Linked DNA regions of Tribolium castaneum. The protein of the gene in region 1 interacts with the protein of each later gene in a biochemical or structural test. Links are inferred from orthologs where the notes say so. Each region holds a gene or a part of one and is shown in the gene's direction. Other genes may lie near its edges. The genes, in order: hypoxia-inducible factor 1-alpha, HDAC3 and Rack1.

Region 1 (3,651 bases):
AGACTTATTTGGAGAGAGGTTATCAACTGTATTAATAACAACTTACAACAGATTTAGACGAGTGTTCATTACATAATTTCAAATGTCAAGTCGGTTGTACTATAATTGCACTCAATATTTTCCAAGTGACACGTTATCACTTACACGTCTATGGGGACAAGTCACACACCTAGTGAGGTGCAAAAATTAAGACAAAAAGAAACGAAAATAAACATCAAAGAAACAATAAAAGAACACACAGTGATAAGAAGAGCCACATGCATATTTGCCTTAATTTGTATTATTATACTTAAATAGATAATTGTTTAACAATTGGAATTTTATAATTGGTTTGTTTACTTTTCATCTTGTTCGAGTTTACGGCCAATTTTTTTCAAATCAAACTTTGCAACTTTCATTAACACTGTTGTGCCAATTAATGTGCATAATGTTTCAAGGTGAGAAGTGCCAAAAAGGATGCGAAAAATTCCGTCGTGCTCACCGAGATTATTTTCTTGGAAACGCAATGAAATTCATGTCGGACATAATTGTTGAATAATTATAATGCCGTGATTTGCATTTTTCGAAGGGAAAAATAACCGCAACAGGAGTAAAGTTCTAAACAAGGCGTCACTTGCATTTTGCATTGCTTTTATCAATCGTGGTCGCTTCGAATTTATTATCTACTTACATGAATCAGTTAACATAATTCATGAATATGTGTGATTGCGACACAAATTACGTTGATAAATGACGTTTATGTGTATGTTGTTTTCCATTCTTCGAATGAAGCGCGTAAAATTCATCAGTTGCATTATATAATTCGTAATGGGCCGCCGAAGGTCGCAATCATGTGAACGTTACATAATTGTAAAAATTCGCAAATATTGGGTGTTTGGACAACAGCGGCTTTATTGTGTTTTTCTGGCAAGGCTGCGTGCTTTCTTTCTAAATTTAGAGCCAGTAGTTTCAATCAGCAATTAACTCGATAAATAGCGTGGAAGCCTTGACATTAGTATCATCATAATGGAATAATTTATAATAATAATATAAATAGTCGAACTGTAATGTTTTTATCAGAGCTGTGATTCGGTTTCTGGCGTTCTGTATGTGCTAAATGAATTTTCCTTATTTACAGTGTTGAAGGACGAGCCTGACGATTTGACGCATTTGGCTCCAGTAGCCGGCGACGTTTGCGTTCCTCTAGACGATCACCCCTTTTTAACCGACAAGATGTTGGACGATTTCTTGCTCAGAGATAATTTTGAGCCGCTGCTTACCGACGAACCCACCGACCCTTTCATTTCGTACAGAGATTCCTACGATAATTCTCCCCAATTATTATCTCCGAATCTCTCAAAGGTATTATTAGGGATCGGTGGAGGAATCGGCAAGTCTCAATGCCATGTTTTTTAGAATTCGGAGTGTAGTTTACCTTCGTTAAATAGTCCGAGCGATTCTCTAAGCGACGAGGATCGTTTGTCAACGTTCATGAATTTGCACACAGAGGACGAGTCGGATTTGGTGGCGAAAGCCCCCTATATCACGATGAACATGGGCGACGATCTGCCCCTGCTGATGTCAGACGATCTCATGTGGAGCAGCAGCGAAAAGTCGAGAGCTTCGCCCGACAGTAGCTCGAGTCTGGCACAGTTGTTGTGCTCTTCGATAAACAAACACTCGCGTCCGAACGATCACGGCGGAGGGTTGATTTCGCCGGATCGGCTCATGGACGTGGACGAATATTACAACAAGAAAAGTAAAAAGTCGTTGGGTTTGGTCGAACTTTGTTGATTGTTGCTTTTAGATTCAGCAATGAACGGAAAGTCGTCGTCGATATCGTCCCGGTTAGAGCGAACAAACAAAAGATCGAACACTTCAAATTACGAGTCAAACACAAAGCGGTCGCGAAACGAGCCTAAAGAGAAAATGTCTTCAGAGCTTTTGCAGCAGTTAATGTCAACCAACCACCACCGGGGCCGCCCGAAGGGCAAGAGCAACTGGTTGCTCGACTCGGGCGGCCAGAAGGCGGCTTGCATAAGCCAGCCGAGTGACAGTGTCTTGATGAACCTTCTGGTAAGCGGCTTCGATATTCGAGCCGGCTACATCTGCCTGACCCCTTCCAAGTCCAAAAGATGAAGTGAAATGTTCAATGTGGAGTACGCTGTGCTCTCAGTTTAGGACAAAAGGGAATCTAGATTTATAGCGGGAGGGAAAGAGAGATATATTTTCTTATGAAAGCGAGTGGATTTTTCTTATCCTTGAAACCGTGCGTCTCCTTCCTAACTAAATGCCTTTATTGAGTTGCCAAAGTACAAGAAATCAGGGAGACCAAACAGATTACTCCTACTGCCAATAATTTGCAAAAGTAATAATTAGAGACAGCGTACTGTATTGTCTGTGATAGGAAACACTATCTGAGAAGCTCTCTATTTATGTACCACATTCCACTTCAACCCATTTTCACTATTTAACTCTCGGTGTTACAGAAAGCTTTGACTGTCATTGTATTTCGCGGAAATGTTACTAATTTCAGCAAACAACAAGGAAATATCGTTCATTATTTTGCATATCATGTAGAGACTGTAGTAAGGACGCTTACATTGTATTCACAAACGTCACCTAAATGTTTTCGAAGGTATTTAAAATTTTACAAAAATAGATTTGTACAAATTGTTAACAACGAAACACCATGTAACGAATTAAATGCAGTTAATTGTGCGCACTTTTGAGCAACGGTGTGACTAGGTCTTGGTCAAAAGTGTAATAAATTTATCGTAAATAGTTTTCTTGTTATTGTTAAGGCAATAATAATTATTCAGTGATATGTATAATCTTTTATAAAGATTATTTTTAGATTATATTAATTATTGTGTATTTATTTTTTAAGCATATTGTTTATATGCTCATGTTGTAAAAGAAAATAAAAGATATTTGTAAGAGTGACTCCTTTTTTACCCTCAAATGAACTTTTTAGCGCTACATCCAGCTTTAATTAAAGGTGTGTGTAAGCACATTTCCTACGGAATTTTCACCGCAAAGTTGCATTTTTGTTGGATTAGAAAATCTGAAACTTTAGTACATCTTTAACCTTTTAATCAGTATTTTTTGTGTTTGAATGCCAACTCGTAAAGAGGAGTAATGTCAGATCTAATGTTGCTTGTCGTTTCCTGTTACTTCATCGTAAAAATAAATTCAGTTTTCGTAATAATAGCTTTTTGTACTTATGTTTTATGCATCAATAAAATAATAATGGTTGGAGTTTTTTCATCAGTTAAAATTTAATTTTTTTTAATGAAAATTCGGTGTTACTATTGCGGTCTGTGATAATTTTAAAATTATCAAATCATCCAGATAATGGATCAAATTCAACAAATAGGCTTCTGTCCACACAGAAAATCATTTACTTAAAAGGCTTCGGTGTTTTTATTTATGAAATGTTGAAAGATTCAAGTTATAAAAAAAATCATAAGCATCTTGTTGACTCATATGGTCGTAGGAATGTTGAAACATGAATATAATTTATTACTTAGAAAAATTTTCTTTATTAAAGGACGATGCTGGAATCTGATTGTGAAAAATTTAATGAAAAATATTGAAATTTTCGACAAGGGCTAGAGACCTCTACAGGATTATCAAGTAAATATAATTACTAATTAGCGAATCTTCGTA
Region 2 (4,355 bases), on another chromosome or scaffold:
GATAGGTTCTTTGTTGTTCCTTTATGTGTTTGCATTGCTATTTACTATTTTCTGGTTCTGGTTCAAGAAAATTTTCAGGTGTTAGATCTCTCTGTGTTAGGAACGGGAATTTTTCTGAAATTTACTCTAACGGAGCTAAATGTAAACCTTACAGAAACCCATTACTTTTTCCCTCTTCTTGAGGAGGCAATTTTTTTTCCTCCTCAAATTGTCCTATTGCCCTAGTGTTGTTTTTCCAGTTGTTAATTTTCTACTAATTACTTACTACGAAAGTTTATACAAAATAAATTGTTCATCCATACTTTCGACGATCTTTAAGAAATTTATTTCTTAGCTCTCTTAGCTATGAAATGTAAAGAGTTATAGGCTGTAGCAGATTTTTTGAGAATATCCCTATTAAAGTGGGTAATTTATAAATTAGCAACAGTGAAAAATTAGCCAATTATTTTGATAAATATTTTTCTGATGTACCAAAAAAATTGTAAGTGTAATTAAAGTAATCTTTCTGGTAGGTTCCCAGATATTTTAAAAATTGTCGAAATAATTCCTGTATTGTATATTTGGATAATAAATTGATGGATTGATCAGAAAAAAATAATAATAAAATAAAAAAATCAAACAATCATTCGCAATTCGGGGACTCACTCAGTCGCTCATTGGCCACACTGATGTCATAAACGTCCACAGAGCCCCCTTTGGCCGCCTGATTGCCCTGCTGCGAGATGGAAAAATTGCGATAAACGACACGTGCCCCATACGCGAAACAATCCGAATCCTGACTAATAATCCCATCGACGAGCTAAAACAACCCCTTGAACCTTAGAAAAAAAAATATGTTTTTACCCCAGTTTCATTCAATTGTGCGCACAAAGCCTCGGCCTCGCCCTCCCCAGTCACACACGCAAGCCCCAACAAACTCAACATCTCCTCGCACCGTTTCAACGTGTGATTAAACCTCGACCTGTCCTTGGTCTTGGCCCCATTTTTGGGCTTCGCCCCTTTGAACTGCAGGGCATTGCGGGCGGCGATCGTCTTGTATTTGAGCTCGGGGGCGCGCCCCTCGAGCACAAACACCACATTTACGTCCATTAGGAGCAAGTAACAAGTGCGGAAATACAAATTTCTGGAAAAAAAAATCAAAATTTTGAACCGGTGTCAGTCACCTAACCTCAAGTACATGCGGGGTTGCACCGTGTATTCGGTCACGTTTTGCGACTCGCACACCCAGCACGACAAGTCGATGGCCACGGTCTTGCCCTGCAGCTCGTAGAGGGGCTTACGCTCCCCGAAAGGGGCCAGAAGCGTCCACAGGTCTTTGATGCCCATTTTCAAACTTGGGGATTTTGGTTTTGGAGTTGGTGACAAAGTCTCGACGAAAATCGGGGGATAAAACGCTTAAAACAGACTCAAATGGGCAAATTTCGTCTTTATTCTCAAAAACAACATTGCGTCCAGAGTTTTATTTGTGAAATATGTTCTGTAATTAATGATAATAATCTTTACGACAACACCATTTCTTAATGGGTGTTTTTGCGTCGTTCGGTTGGTAGTGAGGCGCAGAAACGTCACGTTTGTTTGGGGGCTGTTTTATCAGAAACCACAATGGGGGCTATCCGGAAGCATGCCGGAGGATAGGTTTTGGCTGACGAAACGCCTTGTTGTTATAGTTTTGTTTTTGTATTTTTTGTACGTGTGGAAGGAGCTATCGGCGTGATGTCGAAGCACCGAGTGTCTTACTTCTTCAACCCTGACGTGGGGAACTTCCACTACGGGACGGGGCACCCCATGAAGCCCCACCGCCTGTCTGTGATCCACAGCTTAGTGTTAAATTACGGGCTGCACAAGCACATGCAGATTTACCGGCCTTACAAGGCCAGCGCCCACGACATGTGTCGCTTCCACTCGGACGAATACATCGGTAAAGCCACCACGGTAATTTCACTTGCCTTAACCCCCACACTTGTAGATTTTCTGCAAAAAGTCACGCCGCAGAACATCCAAGCGTTCACCAAGCATCTGAGTCACTATAACGTGGGGGACGATTGCCCGGTCTTCTGGGGGCTGTTTGACTTCTGCTCCATGTACACGGGGGCGTCGCTCGAGGGGGCCATGAAACTGAACAATAACCACTGCGACATTGCTGTTAATTGGTCAGGGGGGCTCCACCACGCCAAGAAATTCGAAGCCAGTGGTTTCTGCTACGTTAACGATATTGTGATTGGGATTTTAGAATTGCTCAAGTACCACGCGAGGGTTTTATACATTGACATCGACGTGCATCACGGAGACGGCGTCCAGGAAGCCTTCTATCTCACTGATCGGGTCATGACGGTCAGTTTCCACAAATACGGCAATTATTTCTTCCCGGGCACGGGCGATATGTACGAAGTGGGGGCGGAAAGTGGCCGTTATTACTCCGTCAACGTGCCGCTGAAGGAAGGAATCGACGATTCCAGCTATTGGATGGTTTTTAAGCCGGTCATTTCAAGCGTGATGGAATTTTTCCAACCCACTGCAATTGTACTACAATGTGGGGCCGATTCCTTGGCCAACGACCGCCTGGGGTGTTTCTCCCTGAGTACCAAAGGGCACGGGGAGTGTGTTAAGTTCGTCAAGAGTCTGAATGTTCCAACTTTGGTGGTTGGAGGTGGCGGTTATACGCTGAGAAATGTCGCGAGGTGTTGGACTTACGAAACTTCGTTACTTGTGGATGAACAAATTTCAAATGAATTGCCCTACACCGAATATTTGGAGTTTTTCGCACCCGACTTTACCCTACATCCTGAGGTGGTCACAAGGCAGGAAAACGCAAACAGTCGCCAGTATTTGGAGGCCATTACTAAGTAATTTTTAAATTGATAAGTATAAGGGAAAAATGACGAACGTCATTCAAAGAAAAACAACTTTTTTTAGTTAATTAGTTTTAATTTTGACTATGGAGGGCTATAACTTGAGCTAAAAAAATAGTAAAAACTACATGACATTATTAGTTCAAATTCTTGAAAAGTAGTTATTTCCTGTTTTTCCCCTGTACTCTTCAATTGAAGGTTGAACAACTATACCAGTGGCGCAGCCAGAGATAGAGTTTATGGGGGTTTACCTTCGTAAAAATATGTTTTTCATTAGTAAACTAATAACGACGCAGAAATGAAAAATGAGCTCTTTACCTGCATATGATTATTTTAGTTCCTTGTAGCACTTAAAATTAACTAAAAATAAATATGTTGCTGAATGTTTTTTCGGAAATGTTGTTCGGGGCAAAAATAATGTAAAAAAAATTGTCTTAAATTCAAGGTTATTTGTTGTATAGCTCACATTTTGTAGCTACAAAAATTATTAAGAATTTCACACAAAAAGCTTTATCTGTCTGTTTCCTGCCTTATTTTATAGGTGGTAATTGTTTTAATATTTTTGTTTAAGTGTTTCTATTTTAATTATTTTCAAAAATATATGCAAAATAATCGGTAAATAATATTGGTATTTTTTGTTTTGTGTAGATAATATTATTTTTTTTTATTTTTTTATTATTACCAGAAAGATAAGGGAGTGTACCTACTATCAAAAACAGTAATCTGTTAAAAATGTCGGTTTTCATAAAAAATAACGTCATTACTCAAAAAGTTATTTCTACCATGGTATCAGAAATGTAGCATTTATTTTACAAAAAACCTCTCCGAAGATTTTTCTGAAATATAACGAAAATATGGATTTTGTGGGTTGCTTTTCTCGGAATTTTCGGAAGTAGAAAAAATCGAATGTCTACAATGATTGTCTGGAAAGTTTTGTTTTATTACTGCAACTTAAATTATTTTGCATGATTATGTTCTCAACCCCCAACAATCTCCCTTGCTGCGCCACTGAACTATATTAAGGAGGTCTGAAGTGGAACTGAACGCAAAATTTGAAATTGAATTTTTATGAAAAGTATTGCACAAAATAGTTTCATTACAACTGGGTGTTGTTCTAACGTTGAATCATTCCCGAGTTTAAAACGGTTAGAAACGTGATTTGTTTATTTTTCTATAAAAAAATTAAGTTCAAATAATAATAATAATTTATGAAAAAAAAAACATGGCTTAAAATTAATTTTTTTAAAGTAGAAGTTATTTTTAGAACATAATCTTTTACCAAAAAAATCGCCATAGGAGGAAGCCATTTGAAAAAAAAATTAATAACACGTAGACTAAAAGAAATTTCAAAAAATTTTATTCTTAAAAAATTATCACATTTTTAAAGTAGTCGATGACTTAATAATTAGTTTTTTCGTAAGGTACATAGTTTAAGCATAAAATGCTTGGTTCCATACTTTTGCCCAACGTTGTATATGAATTTGAAAAAAAAACTTCTATGTCATT
Region 3 (4,163 bases), on another chromosome or scaffold:
CCGTCTCCACCGAATAATAACCACGGTCTACATAGTCACCCATGAAGAGGTAATTCGTGTCGGGACTCCTTCCTCCTATCCTGAACAACTCCATCAAGTCGTGGAATTGGCCGTGGACGTCCCCGCACACGGTTACAGGACATCGCACTTCTTGTACGTTCGACTCCTTCGACAGGATCTCTTTCGCCTGGAACAGGGAAAAAATGACATCACACGATGACTCATTGATGACGACAGAAAAAACATAACCTAATTTTAGCTCGGTCAGGTCAAGTCAAGTCAGGTCACCTTTTTTAGTGAAGTTTCTCAGTCATCTTTGGAAATTTCTGGCCATATTAGGAATGATAGAATGCTTGTGTTTATGACTTTGAATTGGAAAACATGAAATTTGGTTGTAAATTTTGAATTTCGTTAGCTCTTCACCTGGTTTAACCACGAGCCGCCACTGATTCATTCGTAATCATCGGTATGAATCAGTGGTTTGTTTGAGAGGATCTGATAAAAGATCGGGCTCCAAGGATCTAAAGTGCTTATTTTATTAGAGATAACGTAACCAGGACTGTAAATAAGGAGTAAACTGGCGGTGCTAATTAAAATAAACACTTTAATTGCGTTAATTGGAGCGAACACGAATCGATTCAAGGGACTAAAACTAGGCAAAGGGGCGATATTTACCTTATCACATAGTGTCTTTACTTGATTTTCTGATAGTTGCTTACAGTCATTTAACTGTTCTATCCACTGATCCAGTTCTTTACACGACGCTTTATCATCCATTGCTAGCGGTATCTGGTCATACACACGAAAATAAGTTAGATCATAAATAATTACACTAAACTGCTCGAAATTCGGTTTGTTTCTCTACATAAATTACTCGTTATTTTAGTTTTTATCTATTCTCGGATGAACACACCAAAATGGCGATTATGTGGTGGATTTAATAAGACCTCTAGCGGCGGCTTTGTACACTCACACCACCGACCGGGAAACTCAAATCGAACTCCATTAATCACGGACAGAATTTTACCTGGGGCGGTTTGTCGCATAATATTGACACAGCGGACGTCGGAGTTCGAAATTTAATCGGTTTTTGCGTTTGGGGGCTTTTCATTGCTTGTAAGAGACAGTTTGACGCTTTGTTGACATTACTCAAGCAAGGTCGTTTGTTTCCCAGGCCCTGCCCACGCCGCTTGATTGGCCGGTTCAAATAACAAAAAACATGATAAATTAAATAAAAGGTGTGACATAACGCAGTTTCCACAAAAAAATCGTCAAAAATTTGGTACTAGAAATGACCAAAGGTAAAAAATCTTGAAGTACAACCAACTATACAGGAAACTGTAAATGTTCAAGTACCACTTTTTGCACAAATTGTAATGAGGGGCTACAACAAAGTTGTAAAAACCGTTTGGTTTTCAAATTATGCAAAACGTAAAAAAATCCAGGCCCTCCAACCGGTGTGGTTAGCTAATCTAGTGACTAATAGTGACTTTTCGTTGCGTAATGGGTGTTTTTGTTCGGTTGGCAACTGCAGAGCCACCTCTCTCTTCCGTTCCCTTTTCTTTTTGAGCCGGTCTTGTGTGAGGAAGGTCCTCTGAAAAATGTCCGAAACCCTTCAATTGAAAGGCACCCTTTTGGGGCACAACGGCTGGATTACGCAAATTGCGACCAACCCCAAATACCCCGACTTGATTTTGTCCGCGTCTCGAGGTAAGAACCCAAATTCTAACCCATAATCTCCTTTCTAATCCCCATTTATTGGTGAATTACGCAACCATCCGCTTGAAATTTGCCCCAATTTCGCCAAATTGGCCTTCGGGAGCATGTTTCCCGTGGATAATTTCCGATTTTGTTGGTTTTAGACAAGACTTTGATCGTATGGAAACTGACACGTGACGAGACATGCTACGGGGTGCCCCAGAAGCGTTTGTACGGCCATTCCCATTTTATTTCTGACGTTGTCCTGTCGAGCGACGGTAATTACGCCCTTTCTGGCTCATGGGACAAGACCTTGCGTTTGTGGGACTTGGCTGCTGGGAAAACAACGCGTCGATTTGAGGACCATACCAAGGTTTGAAACATACATTTTTACCGTTTTACAGTTTTGATATCTCACGTTGCAACAGTCGGAAGATTTTTTGTTTTTTTTGTATTAACGGCGACTGAAGTTGACTGTTGGGCCCCCTTGTGTAAGTATCGTGAGACATATTAGGCTAGTCCTACCAATGGGTGTGTTAGCAATCATTCGCAAAACTTAAAAATGTATCTGTTTAGGATGTCTTAAGTGTGGCTTTCTCGGTTGATAACCGCCAAATCGTGTCAGGATCCCGCGACAAGACCATCAAATTGTGGAACACTTTGGCCGAGTGCAAGTATACCATCCAGGACGATGGCCACTCTGATTGGGTAAGTGTTCGGAGAAATTTCCGACGTGAGTTCTTTACAACACGAGCACGGCGAGTGCTGCATTATTAGTAGTAGATATGTTTTTTCTTTTCTTGTTAAAAGTTGTTAAATTTACTGAAAAAAAAGGGTGGCGACTATTTTTTTATAATCTACATTTTCTGACGGTATGGATGATATGGACATTAAATTAATTAAATATTTATTAGAAGCTATTTCTTTATCTGTATAAACTTTAAATTTGTGTCTCGCATGAAATTTTTTATTAAATAGCTTTAAAATATGAGTTACGTGTGCAATGTCATCAAGATAAATAGAAATATCAGCGGAAATATTGTTGAAAACAGTGCCTAGTTGTTTATTGTTTTTGTTTTGTGAATGAAATTGTAAATTTGAAGAAAAAGGAAGTTTGCCATTTAAGCTTTTTTGTTAGGTTTCTTGCGTGCGATTTTCGCCCAACCACTCGAACCCCATCATCGTGTCGGCGGGTTGGGACCGCATGGTCAAAGTATGGAACTTGACCAACTGCCGCCTCAAGATCAACCATTCAGGTCACACCGGTTATTTGAACACTGTGACTGTTTCTCCTGATGGTAGCTTGTGTGCAAGTGGCGGTAAAGATTGCAAAGCAATGCTTTGGGATCTTAACGATGGCAAACACTTGCACACACTTGACCATAATGATATCATCACGGCTTTGTGCTTTTCGCCAAACAGGTAATAATCGATGTGATTTATTATTTCGGTGTGATTGTGAAATGATGACACAAAACTTAACCACTTGATTGGCTATGAGAGGTTAGCGGATATGGGGCTGATTTTTTTTTGCTTGAAGCATTCAAACGTTTCGTTTGTTAGGATTTGTTTAAGAAGAACGTTGTTAAAGGTATTGGTTGTGTGCCGCTTTTGGACCCTCTATCAAGATCTGGGATTTGGAGAGCAAGGAAATGGTTGAGGAACTTAGACCAGAAGTTGTCTCGCAACCGCTTAGCAAGGCTGAACCACCACAGTGTCTTTCGCTTGCGTGGTCGACAGATGGGCAAACTTTGTTTGCTGGCTATTCTGATAATACTATCAGGGTGTGGCAAGTTAGCATTTCTGCCCACTAATTCTTGATGTATTTTTTATAATAATAATAAATAAATCCGGAAATAAGTTATATTATTTTCTTTATACATATTTATAAGATTTAAGTTGTATTTTTTACAAAATAAAGTTATGAAAACAAATTCTTTTGTTTGATTAAAAATCCAATTATGATGTCCTGTGAATGAAGCTATGAAGTAACTTTTTACTGAGTATTTCACCAAATACACAAATGTGTATTGGTGGTCGCGTATATATCGTCTGTTGTTGGATTTTGTGTTTATTAGGTTGCATATAACACGCCATTTTACACTATATTTTTTTTTAATTAACCGTCTCTTTAGTTGAGCTTTAACAAGTGATTTTTTTTCTTGTACAAGAGCCATTTAATTTAAATTAGTTAACTTTTTGGGGGTTTGAAAAATATTTTAGCCATTATTTAATATTAGCTATTAAGTGTTATTAATGAATATTATTCAGCAATTGTAAAAAAGCTACTAATGTATCTAATAGCAAACGTTCATTTCTGTGTGATATGTTTAGAAATACCTACAAAAAATATCTATTTATTTGGCAAACTTTAAAAAATAAATTACTCATTTAATATTCTCGTTTTTTCTTATTAATTTCTAATAATTACGGGTTTAGGTTTCCACAAGAATTAATCATAAGTG

What was found.
Region 2: the proteins of hypoxia-inducible factor 1-alpha (region 1) and HDAC3 form a complex in vitro, tested with the Homo sapiens proteins (2 studies listed by BioGRID). The link is inferred for Tribolium castaneum from reciprocal best matches to the Homo sapiens genes HIF1A and HDAC3.
Region 3: the proteins of hypoxia-inducible factor 1-alpha (region 1) and Rack1 form a complex in vitro, tested with the Homo sapiens proteins (2 studies listed by BioGRID). The link is inferred for Tribolium castaneum from reciprocal best matches to the Homo sapiens genes HIF1A and RACK1.

The regions. Positions count from the first base shown.
Region 1 is NC_087396.1:19,203,140-19,206,790, reverse strand, and holds part of hypoxia-inducible factor 1-alpha, read left to right. Parts: intron 1-1,117; coding exon 1,118-1,341; intron 1,342-1,395; coding exon 1,396-1,738; intron 1,739-1,786; coding exon 1,787-2,055; intron 2,056-3,651.
Region 2 is NC_087401.1:11,246,765-11,251,119, reverse strand, and holds the start of HDAC3 (histone deacetylase 3), read left to right. Parts: upstream 1-1,551; 5' UTR 1,552-1,713; coding exon 1,714-1,918; intron 1,919-1,966; coding exon 1,967-2,843; intron 2,844-4,355. Other genes in the region: flap endonuclease GEN, read right to left, coding at 646-799, 844-1,123, 1,169-1,326. UniProt on the Homo sapiens protein: Histone deacetylase that catalyzes the deacetylation of lysine residues on the N-terminal part of the core histones (H2A, H2B, H3 and H4), and some other non-histone substrates.
Region 3 is NC_087399.1:653,501-657,663, reverse strand, and holds Rack1 (small ribosomal subunit protein RACK1), read left to right. Parts: upstream 1-1,531; 5' UTR 1,532-1,601; coding exon 1,602-1,710; intron 1,711-1,862; coding exon 1,863-2,071; intron 2,072-2,274; coding exon 2,275-2,406; intron 2,407-2,836; coding exon 2,837-3,120; intron 3,121-3,289; coding exon 3,290-3,512; 3' UTR 3,513-3,562; downstream 3,563-4,163. Other genes in the region: mts (serine/threonine-protein phosphatase 2A catalytic subunit beta isoform), read right to left, coding at 1-187, 676-789, 1,028-1,111. UniProt on the Homo sapiens protein: Scaffolding protein involved in the recruitment, assembly and/or regulation of a variety of signaling molecules. Interacts with a wide variety of proteins and plays a role in many cellular processes.